Astyanax mexicanus: one gene and its partner. The protein of the gene in region 1 purifies or fractionates together with the protein of each later gene. This does not show direct contact. Links are inferred from orthologs where the notes say so. Each region holds a gene or a part of one and is shown in the gene's direction. Other genes may lie near its edges.

Region 1 (7,799 bases):
CTTTTACTATTTAGGCCTTTTTGTAGGGGGGATTCCAGGTTTGCAGCCATTCAATTAAAGGCCAGTCGCCCTCAGGTACCTTTAAAGGCTGGCACTAAGCATCCGGAGTGTGAAATGTGGCTGTGCAGCAGGCAGGAGGCCAACAGCAGCGTTTATTCAGTGAAAGCGTGTTGATGTGAATGTGCGATGGCGGCCTATCAGGGGCAGCTTATCTATCCATGCCGCTGCTACATTTGGCTTCGCGTAATCCACTACAATGGTACAATGCAGTTGGGAGACAGTGTTTCCCTTCATATTTAAGAATTAATATAAGGATTAATTCTGAAAAAAGAAATGGATGTGCATACTGACAGAGCTTCGGCTAAGACAGGCTAACAATCCCAATACAAACCTCTGTATACGGACAGGAAGAAAAGAATAGAGTTTAAATTGGATTTGATTTATAAATTAGTCTTTCCACCTTAAATGGTGCGGCAATTAGCTACATACATGGACAGACACTGTAACGTTGCCAGCTGCTGCAGAATTTAAGGTGGAACGGAAAGTTGGAAAAAAAAAATAGGAAGTAGAAGCACACGAAAGAGAGTTAGAGAAGGTGATAGAAAGAGACCACATTTTTTTTTTCAACATAAAACTTTTAATACATTTAAAACAAGTAAGTTAACTACATAGTTACTCAGCTAGGACAGCTGCCTTTCTCGTTATATTAAGGTTACACATTCATATAAGAAAAAAAGAAATGGCTGTGCATATCGACAGAGCTTTGGCTAAGATTAGGTAAAACAGCTCCAATACAAACTTTTGTATACGGAGAGTAAGATAAAGTAGATTGGATTAAAGTAAATTGGATTTGACTGATTAATTAGTATTTCCACCTTAAATGGATCGGCAGTTCAAAGCCTGGACAGACTGTAACGTATCTAGCTGCTGCAGAATTTAAGGTGGAAAAGAAAGTTGGAATAAGGAACTGAGCAAAAGAAGCACACGAGAGAGAGAGAGAGAGAGAGAGAGAGAGAGAGAGAGAGAGAGAGAGAGGTGTATTCGCATGTGAGCGTATTTCTGTATTTAGACCACATTTCTTTTTTTAAAACAAAAAAAGTAAATCATTCAGAGAGTGGACAGACCATAAAATATATACATTCAAAACAAGTTAACTCAGTTACCTAATTAGCTACTTAGGCTCGTCATATTTAGGTTAATAATTAATATAAAGAAACTAACAGCTTCCACACAAACATCTGTATACGGAGAAGAAGATGACGTTTAGTTTTAAATAGATTGGTCTTATAACTACTCGTTCCACCTTAAATTGTGCAGTTGTTAGTTATATTTTGTAATACACTAACAGCTAGGTAGGTTGGCTGCTGAAGAATTTAAGGTGGAACGAAAAACAAACTGAGCAAGCAGATGCAAACGAGAGAGAGAGAGACTGAGAGAAGGGGGCGGTGTATTCGCATGTGTATGGGAGTTCCTGTATTTAGAGCAGCAAGACCATGTATTCTCCACAAATGTAACTTTTCAACATCAAAAATGTACATTTTAAAACAAGTTAGCTAGCTAACCAAGGATGGTTACTCTGGGGCAATAAGCTATGCTTGTCTGTAGCGCTGCTTGGATACAGTATTTAGGTTAGGTAGTTAGCAAACCAAGCTAAGCTAACTAGTTAGCTAGCTAGTTAGGTTTGTTATTGGACAACACATTCAAACCTTAAATTAAATCTAACTACACAGTTAGTGTACACACCCTCCACAGTGGTACACACTCCTCATTTCCCCACCTTTCCCCTTGTTGTTTCACAGACCACCCGTCCTACTGAACTCCTCTGCTCACCGTGGCCTTCAACCATGGCCAAAGCTCAGTCAGCTACAAACACAACCCCCACCCCCTTTACCTAGCCAGCTTGAAAAGCACCAACGCCGTCTCCATTATCCACACCCCCTTAGCCTTAGACAGGGCTTTGCTATTTAGCTTACCGCCTTCTTCATGCCAATGTTAGCCCACTGCACGGATGACAGGAAGACCCCAGAGTGCTCCACCAAATCTGTAACAGATCTAGCTAGCTAACCTAGCTAATTTAGCTTAGCTAGCTAACCTAGCTCTCTCATACCAGCCAACCCAAAAACATTCAAGGAGAGGAGGGGCTCTCTCTCACCTTAATTTCTGGAGCTAGAGATGCGTATTATTTCCAGTCGTCTGGGCTCCTGCGCATGTGACCGTGTGGTCTCTGGCTGCCGACGTGCTTGTCCTCAATAATCGCGTTATAATCCGCATCAAACCGCGTGTAATATGTACATAAAATGTGTCCTGCTCTCTCTCTCTCCGACGCTGCGCTGCTGCTAGCTCGTCTGCTCGCTACTCTTGTTGTTTGTGTTTTAGGAAGATGGCCGTTCTGCTCGGCGGAGACCACGTGACTCCGTGGCGACTGACTGGAGTAACATATGAAACCTGTCTGAGGGGGGTTGCAGCGCCCCTGGCGGCGTGTGCAGGCAACTACACGTGGTCACATATTCATTATCAAGGAAAGTTAATTTTTATTGTCAATACTGCATATTAGAGGTGTGCCAAAAAATCGATTCACATAAGAATCTTGATTCTCATTTACTACGATTCAGAATCGATTTAAAATGTCCCAAAATCGATTCTGAGGGGCGGGTTTTAGACTGATTTTGGGCTGGGTATTTTTGTTGGACCTGGCAACCCTGGGGATAGCGCTTGTCCTTTCAAACGGAGATCTTCCAGACACACACAGAGCGTAGGTGTTTGAGAATCACCGGTAAGATGGCAGAACAAGCACTATATTACATTAGATTAACGTGTAGTTTCAATGTTTTATGGCAGAATGCTTCATAACAAGCATAAAAAAGATCGCTAGTAGTTAGTTTCAGTAACTGTTAGCTAGCTAACTAGCTAACTTTCCAGTTCCACCTTAAATAACGCTACAGGTGGCAGCGGGCTGCAGCATTTAAGGCGGAACGGAAAAATACAATAAGCTAATCAGAGCTAATTTCAGCTCCTCATCACAGAGGAATTAAGGAATGGACCATATGAATTAATTTCTCCACCTCCTGCCCCCTTTCTGAAGAAATACAACGACCTTAAATTAACTAGTTAATCAGCAGCTGCTCCTGAACTTTAGCGCTCCACTGCTATCATCACATCAGCCCAGCAGCGTCACCTACACACCACCGCTAGTAGCCTGGTAATAAAGCAGTGTTATTTATTATTTATTTATTGTTCATTAACGTCATTGTGATATCCCAGTGATTCCTCTGTCACTGAGGACCCACATTCCTGCACATTTTATTGTTTTTGTAACACATTACCTGCTCCAGGACCAGTGTATATTATGGAGGGTTTTTTTTCAATAAGATTCATAAGCCAGAAGCAGAAATTTTTATAATTCAAATCGTTTTGAATCAAAAATCGATTTTGAATCGAATCGTGGCCCCCAAAATCGGAATCGAATCGAATCGTGAGATAGTAAACGATTCCCACCCCTACTGCATATGGACAGGACATACAGAGGATTAAAATTACGTTACCATCCTTCCCAAAGTTACAACAGGTACAGCAGAATAAAATTATAAATATAAAAGAATGAGACACTAATACTAATACTAGTACAATACAACAAGGCCAGATATATAGACATACGTGAGACAAGAGTTCAAGTTTAAGTAAGAGTAGACAAAAGTACAGAAATATAATATTATAAATAATAAAAGAATGACACTAATTGTACAATACAGCAAGGTCACATATACAACTTAAAAATTATGGGTTTTTTTTGCCTTTACCAAATTGAAAAACTCTGGAATATAATCAAGAGGAAATGGACGATCACAAGCCATCAAACCAAGCTGAACAGCTTGAATTTTGCACCAGGAGTGGCATAAAGTTATTCAGAGGCAGTCTGGAGGGGAACATGCCAATGTGCATTAAAACTGTGATTAAAAAAACAGGGTTACTCCACCAAAGATTTCTGAATTCTTAAAACCTTATGAATATGAACTTGTTTTCTTTGCATTATTTGAGATCTGAAAGCTCTGCATCTTCTTCTCATTTTCTGCAGTATGATTTATTTTTTTTTTTTTGGAATTTGGAAGAAATGTTGTCTGTAGTTTACAGAATAAAACAAAAATGTTAATTTTACTCAAACATCTACCTATAAATAGCAAAATCAGATAAATTGATTTAGAAACTGAAGTGGTCTCTTAATTTTTCCAGAGTTGTATAGACACACGTTAGACAAGAGACACACAATAGTGCAATATAAAATGACAGTGTACCAGTTGGTTTGAAAGGGGTGGGGGGTCACAGTCGTAGGGGGAATTAAGTGGCTATGATTGATCAGTGCAAGTATAGGCAGTAGTGCAGGTTTGGGGTGTGTGAGTGCATATCAGTTCCTGAAAAAGACTTCCACTACTGTTTTGATTCAAGTACTATGTTCCAGTATTGTGTTGATAAGAGTGCGGTCAGAATTGACCAGATTTTAGCTGGTATAGTGAACAAGTGCATAATGCACATTCTTTCAATTGCACAGTTGTAGGGATAATTAAAGTGAGTATGACAGTGCAAGTATAAGCAGTAGTGTCAGTATGGGTATGTGAGAGCACTGTATTACATATATTACATGTATTAGAATATAATCAGGTGCTCTGCTCTAGGGGAGCGAGCGACCGCTGATCTATAAGACATGTGCGCCACGCGGTAATTAGGCGCATTGCCGCTGAATCCCCATCACACTGCTTATACATCTGTACAGAGCGCGTCGTAGGCGCAGGTACTCAAACAGAGACGGCTGTTTGAATGGCGATTTGCTCCACCGGGTAACATTTTACATTTACAGCTGTATGTCTGTGACTCACTGGTTGTTTTGCAGTCACTATTTTACTATTTTAAATACAGACGTCCCTAAACACACGAGAGACAGACATCACTTCCGGTAAAAAGCTGGTAACACATCCGGCATCTTCTACAGTGAGGCGGTGTGACGAGCCCCCAGAGCAGAGCAGGTACCTGTTTATTACATTGTTTTTGAATGTTTATTTGAATCAGAATCTGCAATTAGGTGTACGATGTTGCAGGTTGATTCAATGTAAAGAGCGAGAACTGGAGTGTAGTCTATATTCCACGTGTTTAGACTCCTCGCCATGCTTTCCAGTGTACGGGTGGGTGGTCAGTGAGTGACAGACTAGCTAGTCCTTCAGTCCTTCAGCAAACACTGAAATACACCCTATTTAATATCATACACGAGATAGCCTCACAACTAACAGCTAGCTAACACTGCTGCAAAGACTGCTGCTTAAGATGGTGATTCTGGTTAGATTAGGTTGTGGTGGAAAGGCTGATTGATCATGTTTCTGTGACAGAGGATGTTTTTTTTTATAGATTTTTGCTGTCTGTCTATCTGTCTATCTCTCTCTCTCTCTCTCTCTCTCTCTCTCTCTCTCTCTCTCTATGTATATATATATATATATATATAAGGAAAGGCTGATTGATCATGTTGTATGTCACAGGATGTTTTGCCATCCATCACTTATTTTTATCCCAACCTTCTCTAGTAGAATTGTCCCTGTGTTCACTGTGGCATTGTTTCGATAAGCTTCTGTAATGTCACAAGATTTATTTTAATCCAGTACCCAAAGCCTTCTTCAGCACATCCCAAAGATTCTCAATGGAGTTAAGGTCTGGACACTGTGGTGAACAATCCATGTGTGAATATGATGATCTCATGCTCCCTGAACCACCCTTTCACAATTCCTGCCCAATGAATCCTGGCATCATATTATTTTACTCCAACACTGGATATATTGAGAGCATTGTTAGTATCATTACATGTTGTATTGTTCACTTCAATTAGGGATTTTTTTGTTTTCATATCAACAAGAACATAATTGCAAAAGCTCCCAGAATATCCCACCCCACCCAGGCCCACTCCATCTAAATATTTATTGTTTATCTAATGGTAAATTTAATATACATCTTCTTTGATATTAAATGTTTAATTGTCAGTACATGTGTGGATTAGGAGTAAACAATACTTTTTAAAAAGACATTGTTAATCGTTAAATTGCTCTATGTTTCCATTGTCAGATTTAATCTCTGCTGATCCTCTTCAGAAGCCCCGAGATGGCAGATCCACGAAGTCAAGTCCCAGGTTCGGTGTCTCAGAACCCACTAGGTTTTTCAACACCTGAGGGCAACACTGTTGAGATGGACCCAGTGGAATACACCCTCCGCAAACGGCTGCCCAGAAAGCTGCCCAAGAGACGCAACGATGTATACATTAACATGAAGACCGACTTCAAGGCCCAGCTGGCCAGGTGTCAGAAACTGCTGGATGGCGGTGCTGGTCACAAGGAAATCTGCATCCACGGTCTGGGACTCGCCATTAACCGGGCCATTAACATCGCACTGCAGCTGCAGGCTTTCAGCCAGGGGGCACTGCAGCTGGCTGCGAACACCTCCACGGTAGAGCTAGTAGACGATCTGGAGCCAGAAGACCCAGATGAAGCTGGAGAGCCACTAACACGAACAAGGAACAACTCGGCTATCCACATTAAAGTGTTTTACCCCAATGCTTAGAAAGTTACAGTCAGCTACACAAAATCAAATATTATTAAAAAGGGAAAGAAGGAAATCCATCACCATAGAGGGATAATCTGACCTTTAATTTCATTAATAGCTACTGAATGTTAAGACTTTTCAATTGAATCATTTGGGATTAAATTCTTAAATAATACATGGCTTGGATGTGCAGTTTAAGGACAGTATTAAAAATATTTTTTGAGAGCCTTTACATAATGTGAAGATCAGTAAAAACAAATTCTGTCAGCACTTTATTTGGCCAAAAAAGTTTTGAGATATGTTTAAGGGTGCGAAAGATTAATATTTCTAAAATGCAAATCAGTTTGTGTCCCTATATATTTTTTGGGTTATTTTGCCAAGTGAAAGAACCTAGGAGTTGTTCACACATCTAAATTGGAATCAGTAAATCGATTAGCCCTGATATGAGAGAGCCTGGTATGGAAGTAGCTGACCCAATATTATATTCTACCCACTTGTCTTCTTATGGCACTGGAGGAGAACATTAGATCAGTGCTTTGATGTATGTCTGTGAAACTGCTCATGAGGTCATTCATATGTGTAGGTGTTTGATATTTTGATAAAACTTGAAGAAAATAGAACATTTTGTATTAATGTGCTGTCCACAAGTACAAAATATTATTTAAGGTGCCTATGCATGTTGTTGTATTGTCTGAAACAGTTTGTGTTCGTTTGTGAACATACTATATTTTTAAGTCTTATTTTCACTGTTTGAGAAGCATATTCAGATTTATTTTCTGATGTATATGTGTGTAAATAAAACACTAACACATGCTTGCATATCGTTTGTGATATTTTTTTAGCTTGTGCTGTCCACTTGAGGGCAGTATAGCGTCTATTATTTTTGCAAGAATACAGATGCTTGCATCTGTCCAGTGTCTTTACCCCTCGACTTATGGTGTGCATAGTCTTTAAGAGCACTAGAAGCTGGACTGGATTGATTTACACAGTCATGGCCGTTTTGGCCCCCCAACGTGTTTCCAGAAAAAAGATATTTTTTCCAAAAAAATCTTCTTTGTGTGTATTAAAAACAGAAAAAGCCAAAATGTATTATTTCACAAAGAATTACAAAATAGGGCCAGACACAATTATTTGCACCTTTTTAAAATAATGCTCGTTTACATTCACGTGTGGCCAGTAACAGGTTTGGGCACAATACAATCATACGAATAGAAAGTAGAAAACTGAAT
Region 2 (6,521 bases), on another chromosome or scaffold:
TTAAATTACACAGGACCATTAAGGGGTTAAGAAGTACAATCCCTTGGCCGGAGTCTATCTGACCCATTTTCGGCCTGTATTTGGTCACACTAAACCCAGTCTTAATCAGTGCAGCAGGGTCATTATCCCCCCACTGTACATGAGTTTCTATTGTTCAGCTAAACAACCAACAAACAGGCGTACAAACCAGTCTGAAGGCCCATTGTGTTTGTGTGCAGATAATCAGGCTATGGAGGGAGAGAAGTGCAGCTCGCTCACCCCCTCACTACTGCACTCATATGGAGTGACACTGCACACTGAATGGGGTGATAATGACGTCATGGAGCTGATTAACACTATATGCTGGTAAATATATAGTGAATATTATAGCTGTATGATATTATAGTGCAGAATGGGCCTTAGCTACACACACATCCAGCTGCTAACAGGTACCACACACACACACATGCACACACACACAGTACAATACAGGCACAATAAATAAAACATGGAAAAAATACATAAACCACCAACCTGCAGAGTCATTTTCCCAGGCGAGAGAGAGAGAGCTGGAGTATGAGATAGTGAGAGTGTGTGTGTGTGTGTGTGTGAGAGAGAGAGAGAGAGAGAGAGAGAGTGTGTGTGTGTGTGTATTCCTGCTGCGTCTTCTGCACTCAGCGTAGACCTGCTGATGAATTACAGTTTACGGTATCATCGTGCACAGTCGCAGTGTGGCAGCCTGAACGCTGATTGGCTGAGCAGAGAGCCAATCAGAATGAGCCAATCAGCACACAGCATTACTGATGACAGAGGAGCACATGCACACCGAGCCCAGCCACAACATTAAAACCACTGACAAGCGAAGTGTATGCAATTTCTAGCATCAGAGAATTAAACCCAGCCACACCACCCTCCCTTATAAAATAACTACATACAAAATAGGGAAGAGTTCCCAGGAGGCGTGAGTCTCTCATATCAGAAGAAATAATATCATTTAGTTCAAGGATTCATGGAGACTTTATTGTCATTCACATCACATGTGGTACATGAGGTGAACCGAAATTGTACTCTCAGGGTCCAGATACACAGATAAAGAGCGATTGTTAAAATAAAATCAATATAAAGATGAAATAAAATAAGATATAATAAAATAAAATACTAAAATAAAATAAAATAAAATAGATATCAAGATAAATACACAAAATATAAAGGAGAGTAGGAAAGCAGCAGCAACGTGATGTCCAGAGTACATATATATAAACTATATATTTAGTTTTAATTATTTATTTATATTTTTATTTATGCTTTATTATTTTTATTTCCATTTTTATTGTAATTTGTAAAGCACTTTGAATGACCATTGTGTAAGAAAGGTGCAATATAAATAAACTTGCCTTGCCTTTGTAGCATCATAGATAATTATGAATGAAGAGCAGTAACATATTACAAGTTACATAATAGGTGTGTGTGCCAAATCAGATAGGTACACCTGTCCCTCAGGAGATAACACTGTTCAAGACTGTCCTCTCAGCACTGCAAACTAAAAACTCTGAGACACATATTGGGTCTTTCCAATGGACACACCCCCATCTCCACAGAAACACCCTTTAGAGATGCCCTGTTACATTATTTTTTATTGTTCTACCTTATTCTGCACTAATAGTTTATTTATGGTCCACTGTTTACATCTCTACAAATTTGTACAGATAGATTAATATATAACTGTGTATTTGCACATTCTTTTTCTATTTGCAGCGCGTTTTTCTATTTGCAGCGCGTTTTTCTATTTGCTGCGCCTGTGTTGTAATTTTGATGGATGTGTTTTATGCTTTTGCAGGGCTTTTCAATTTGCACTGCGTTGGGCTTTCTCGGCCACCGTAGCACTCTCCATTATGTGCTCTAATTTAAAGTGGGCAATGAAGTCCCCTTACTCTCTAACCTGACCCTGCTCTTTTCTTTGAAAAAACAATTCAATATCTGTGGCTGATACTGAATATCCACACACACACACACACACACACACACACACACACACACAGGACGTATCAGGAGTGGAACATCACCTGTCTCATCACATCTTCTACAATTCTGCACTATTAATTAGCTACTACACATACAGACAGTACTAGTCTAGCACACTGGTTTTAATAAAAACACAAACTGACCAATGAAATGGCAGCCAGCCTCATTCTCCCCAGCAGCACAGAGAGAAAGTGGATTGTACCATTTGTGTGTTGAGGAGAGATTACTTTATTTTTATTCTAGAAATTCTGTTAATGATATACTTTTTTAGTTTGGAAGATTTTTCAGCTTATCTAATTCTGTTTAAATATATATATTTGTTACATTTTAGGAGTGCTTGTTGAATTTAGGGATGCTTGAGCCCCCCTAAAAAGGGGCTAATAATGCCCCAATGGAAATCTCCCAAACCAAAAACCAGCTGGTTGAGCAGCATAGCTCTTGATATTTCTGTTGATCTGCAGGCCAAGCAAAACCATCTGACTAAAACAGAAAGCCAGTATGAGCAAGTTGGCCAGGCTGGTTTGTGTCTAAGCTCAGAGAACACATGGACTGAAGTACAATTTCAGATATGAACATTAAACAATCAATTAATAATCCAAATTAACAAGCTTGTAACACATATTTATTTTATAGTTTTAATCAAATATATATATAAAAAAAACAGGGATTAAACTGCATACTAGTATTCTGAGCCTGGTTTTCCAACAGATTTGTATATGTATATATATATATATATATATATATATATATATATATATATATATATATATATATATATATATATATATATATACATTTAATGATTTAGACTTGGCATCTCCTTCCAACTGCCAAAAGTACCAATTGGTCTTACTCCTATATAATATATACATCTACTGAGATACTGTCTTTTGGCTTTTCATTAGCTGTAACCCATAATCATCAAAAATAAAAAAATAAACACATCAGTTACTGTCTATACTAGTTGTTAATTACTGTATATACAAGTAAATATTATTTCCTGACTTTACTGTTGTTATCTTTGTTGATCAAAGAAGAATAAGGTCCTCTGAGACCTTCTTTCTCTGCAGGTTTATTCTTTCCACTCTGGGGACGCTTTCTCTTCGCCATTATACTGTTGCCAGTGGTTTGCTCATTTGGGGCTTGAACAGAGATCTCTGTAAAAGCTGCTTCATGACAATGTCTTCAGCTTGTAAATAGGGTTGTAAAAGCACATCTATAAACCAAAATCTAATTTTAACTAATTTGACAGTGATATACCAAAAAAAAAAAAACACATCACATGACATATAAACAGCAAATTCTTGTCATTTATGTATTGGTAAAAACGTGTATATACTTTTTTGTACTGTTACTTTATTTTATCCTGTCTAATCACGTGAAATTTAACAACTCATCTTTAATGTGCAACACATAGACAGTAATCATATAAAATTATCATTATCATATAAAACATTTTCAAAAATATACTGCAATGCTTGAAATATGTTTAATTAATTTGTTATGACTAAACATTTCACAGATGTGGGACTAACAAAGGATTATTTTATGTTTATTTGAAAATGCATGATTTTTTTTTCCTTAATATTCTGCAATACAATACTGTAATATTAGAAATACATGTTGGAATAAAAAATGCCTTCTCTTTGTTTTCTCTTTAAAAAAAATGCTTGTGTATATATTCTTCTATTTTCTGTTGGATGTAGTTTATGGATACCGCTATACTGTTTGTATTACATTCCAACAGATACTGTGGGACTAATAAAGGATTATCTTAAGTAGATGAAAATGAACAAACTTGTATATTTCCTAAATACACTGCAATACTGCAATGTTTGAAATACATTTTGTAGTTCATAGGTTTCCATGCATTTTTTTTAAAGAAAGCTTTTCTATTTTTTTAACTGTTTATGGATACTTCTATCTAGTTTCTATAGCTTTGACACTGTGACTTTATTATTCCCACATCTGGGGAATTGTCAGAGGGAAACATGTATTTTTCCTTAACCCCTTTACTGGCCTTTGAATGTATACAGGCTACAAGTGTAGGTGATACAAAATCCTTTTTCTCTGCAGTAAAATAACTTATTTACATTTTAAAGACTATGAGGGCTTTTAGTGTCTACTCCACTAAATAATTCCAGATTAGTAACAGGAATCAACCCAAATTCTGCAGGTTTGAAAGTAAACATAAAATCTAGACAACTGTAACAAAACGAAAGGTTTGGGGGACATGAACTGTTTGATTTGCATTCAGGAAAATAATGATTTTAAAATGATCCAGAAAATCTCGCTATCTTTAAGAGACTCCTGAAAGAGCACTTACTCTCCTAACACCTCTAACACACTAACTACTTCTAACCCCATTTCCTTCTTCCCCTCCTTCACTTCTCTATCCATTTATTTCCCTTCGACCTCCTTTAAGCCCTATCTAAAAATGGGTTATCTAAATTCCTATTACTTTTGTACTTCATTATTGTAAGTCGCTTTGGACAAAAGCGTCTGCCAAATGAAATGTAATGTATTTCTAATACATTTACAATTGGAATTTGTAGAAACGTTTATTATCAAACATGAAATCTTTTTTATGCAATGCTTGAATAGAAATCCTCAAGATTTAGGTATGTAACATTAGGCAGAAAATTTATAAAAATGCTGGCCTGTTACTGAATACTGAAATGCTTAAAATATATTTAAAATACGATTTAAATTGATAAAATACGTTTAAAATATATTTAATATAACATATTAATAAATAATGTGTCCATTATGTGGTAGTGTAGTGTTATATAGACCCTGAACACTAGGGGGCGGTGTGGCTTTTTAACACTCAACGCTCCGAACCAGCATGGCGGCGCCCTGTAGCAGCACACGTGTTCTATAGATAGCTGATGTTATGTTGAGCTCAGTGCACACATGTGAAAGCTTTCTGATCTGATCTGAGGTGGAACATCTCTGAACACCACTGTTCAGAGCACCGAGGCTGTGGAGGACCTTTATAAAGCAGGAGCTGGTTTATATATAAAGTTATTTAGTTTGTTTTAGTATCTGTGGCCACGCTGGAGTTATGAGAGCAGGATGAGCACTCCGGGAAAAGCAGCAAAGAAGGAGAAAAAGAAGCCCATCCCTGTGAAAACCTCTCTAAACAACCCTTACGATCTCAGATGGGCTCCTCTGGAGAAGGGCCAGAAGGCATTTATTCTGAACTGCCTCACAGAGACGATAGAAGCTCTGGGGCTTAAGAAGATCCAGGTACGAGTGAAGGGGCTCCGCAGCAGCAGGAGGAGGAAATCCAAGCAGCGGGACTCGAAGCCCCCCGAAGCCGAAAAAACTGCTCGGCAGCCAGGCTGGAGCGACGAGGCCTCCCGGAGGCAGCTGGCCATCGGCATCAACGAGGTGACCAAAGGCCTGGAGAAGGATGAGCTCAGCCTGGTGCTGGTGTGCAGCTCCATCAGGCCAGCCCACATGATCAGCCACCTCATCCCCCTCAGCAGAACCAGGGCGGTGCCGGCATGCCAGGTGCCCGGCCTCAGTGAGGGTCTGTCTGGGGCTCTGGGTCTCAGCAGCGTGCTGGCACTGGGCTTCAAACGAGGAGACACCGCCTTCTCCAACACAGTAGGGGAGATAGCCTCCAAGGTCCCTCCCCTCTGTGTGCCCTGGGTGCCCACTGAGAAGGAGCCAGCCAGGCTGGAGGACCAGAGCCTGGGAGGAGACCCCCATCCTGGTCCTACTGATACTGGAGATCTTACTGGAGATCCTTCAGATCCAGTTAAGACTGAAACGCAGACTGAGGAGCCCCCCTCAAATCCACCAAGGGGTCAAAAGAGGAAGCTTGACCTTTCACATGAGCCTGGACAAGACCCAACCCCAACACTTCAGCCTCTCAAAGTCAAGAAAACCATCCCAAACCCATCAAAAATCCGGAAACCCAAGAAAAAGAAGGCATCAGCTCAGAAGTGACAGTCTGAAAGAAACAATTGCACAATTGCTTTTTTTTTTATTCATTGGACAAATCATAAATCATTGTAAAGACATTTAGGATGAGTTGATGTGAAAAGGTGAACATGTAAAGATTCCAAGAAATGCAGCCAAGAAGGAGAAAAAGAAGCCCACCTTTGAGAAAACCTCTCTACACAACGGTTACGACTTCAGATGGGCAGATGAAATGGTGAAAATGTAAAGTCTCAGCAAACAAATGTTACATGTAGAATTAGAATTGTACCCATTATTATTTGTATTTGAATTATATTTGCACTGGCATTACAAAAAAGCAAGCATTGTCTAGGACTTAATCTCATCTCCATGCCTGTGCCTTTACAAACATATAATAGTTTTCTTTAGATATTGCTTTGTCTATAAACAATGCTGTATGTCTCTTAAAATGCAATTAGGGCTAAAACCTTGTTATAAAACCGGTTCAGCAATGTTTTGTCACAATTTCCTTTGTAAAAAATATCAAGCTCTTCAGATGTCTTGTGTTCACCACAACACTGTGAACAGTTCTGTCTCAATATTTCACA

Evidence for each region. Proteins that work in one complex are often made in the same cells at the same time.
Region 2: the proteins of pop7 (region 1) and rpp38 purify together in Homo sapiens (co-immunoprecipitation; 3 studies listed by BioGRID and IntAct, with this or other methods). This does not show direct contact. The link is inferred for Astyanax mexicanus from reciprocal best matches to the Homo sapiens genes POP7 and RPP38.

The regions. Positions count from the first base shown.
Region 1 is NC_064415.1:15,412,553-15,420,351, forward strand, and holds pop7 (ribonuclease P protein subunit p20), read left to right. Parts: upstream 1-4,784; 5' UTR 4,785-5,015; intron 5,016-6,096; 5' UTR 6,097-6,132; coding exon 6,133-6,588; 3' UTR 6,589-7,389; downstream 7,390-7,799. UniProt on the Homo sapiens protein: Component of ribonuclease P, a ribonucleoprotein complex that generates mature tRNA molecules by cleaving their 5'-ends. Also a component of the MRP ribonuclease complex, which cleaves pre-rRNA sequences.
Region 2 is NC_064408.1:111,996,731-112,003,251, reverse strand, and holds rpp38 (ribonuclease P protein subunit p38), read left to right. Parts: upstream 1-4,848; 5' UTR 4,849-5,079; coding exon 5,080-5,961; 3' UTR 5,962-6,003; downstream 6,004-6,521. Other genes in the region: acbd7 (acyl-CoA-binding domain-containing protein 7), read right to left, coding at 514-525. UniProt on the Homo sapiens protein: Component of ribonuclease P, a ribonucleoprotein complex that generates mature tRNA molecules by cleaving their 5'-ends. Also a component of the MRP ribonuclease complex, which cleaves pre-rRNA sequences.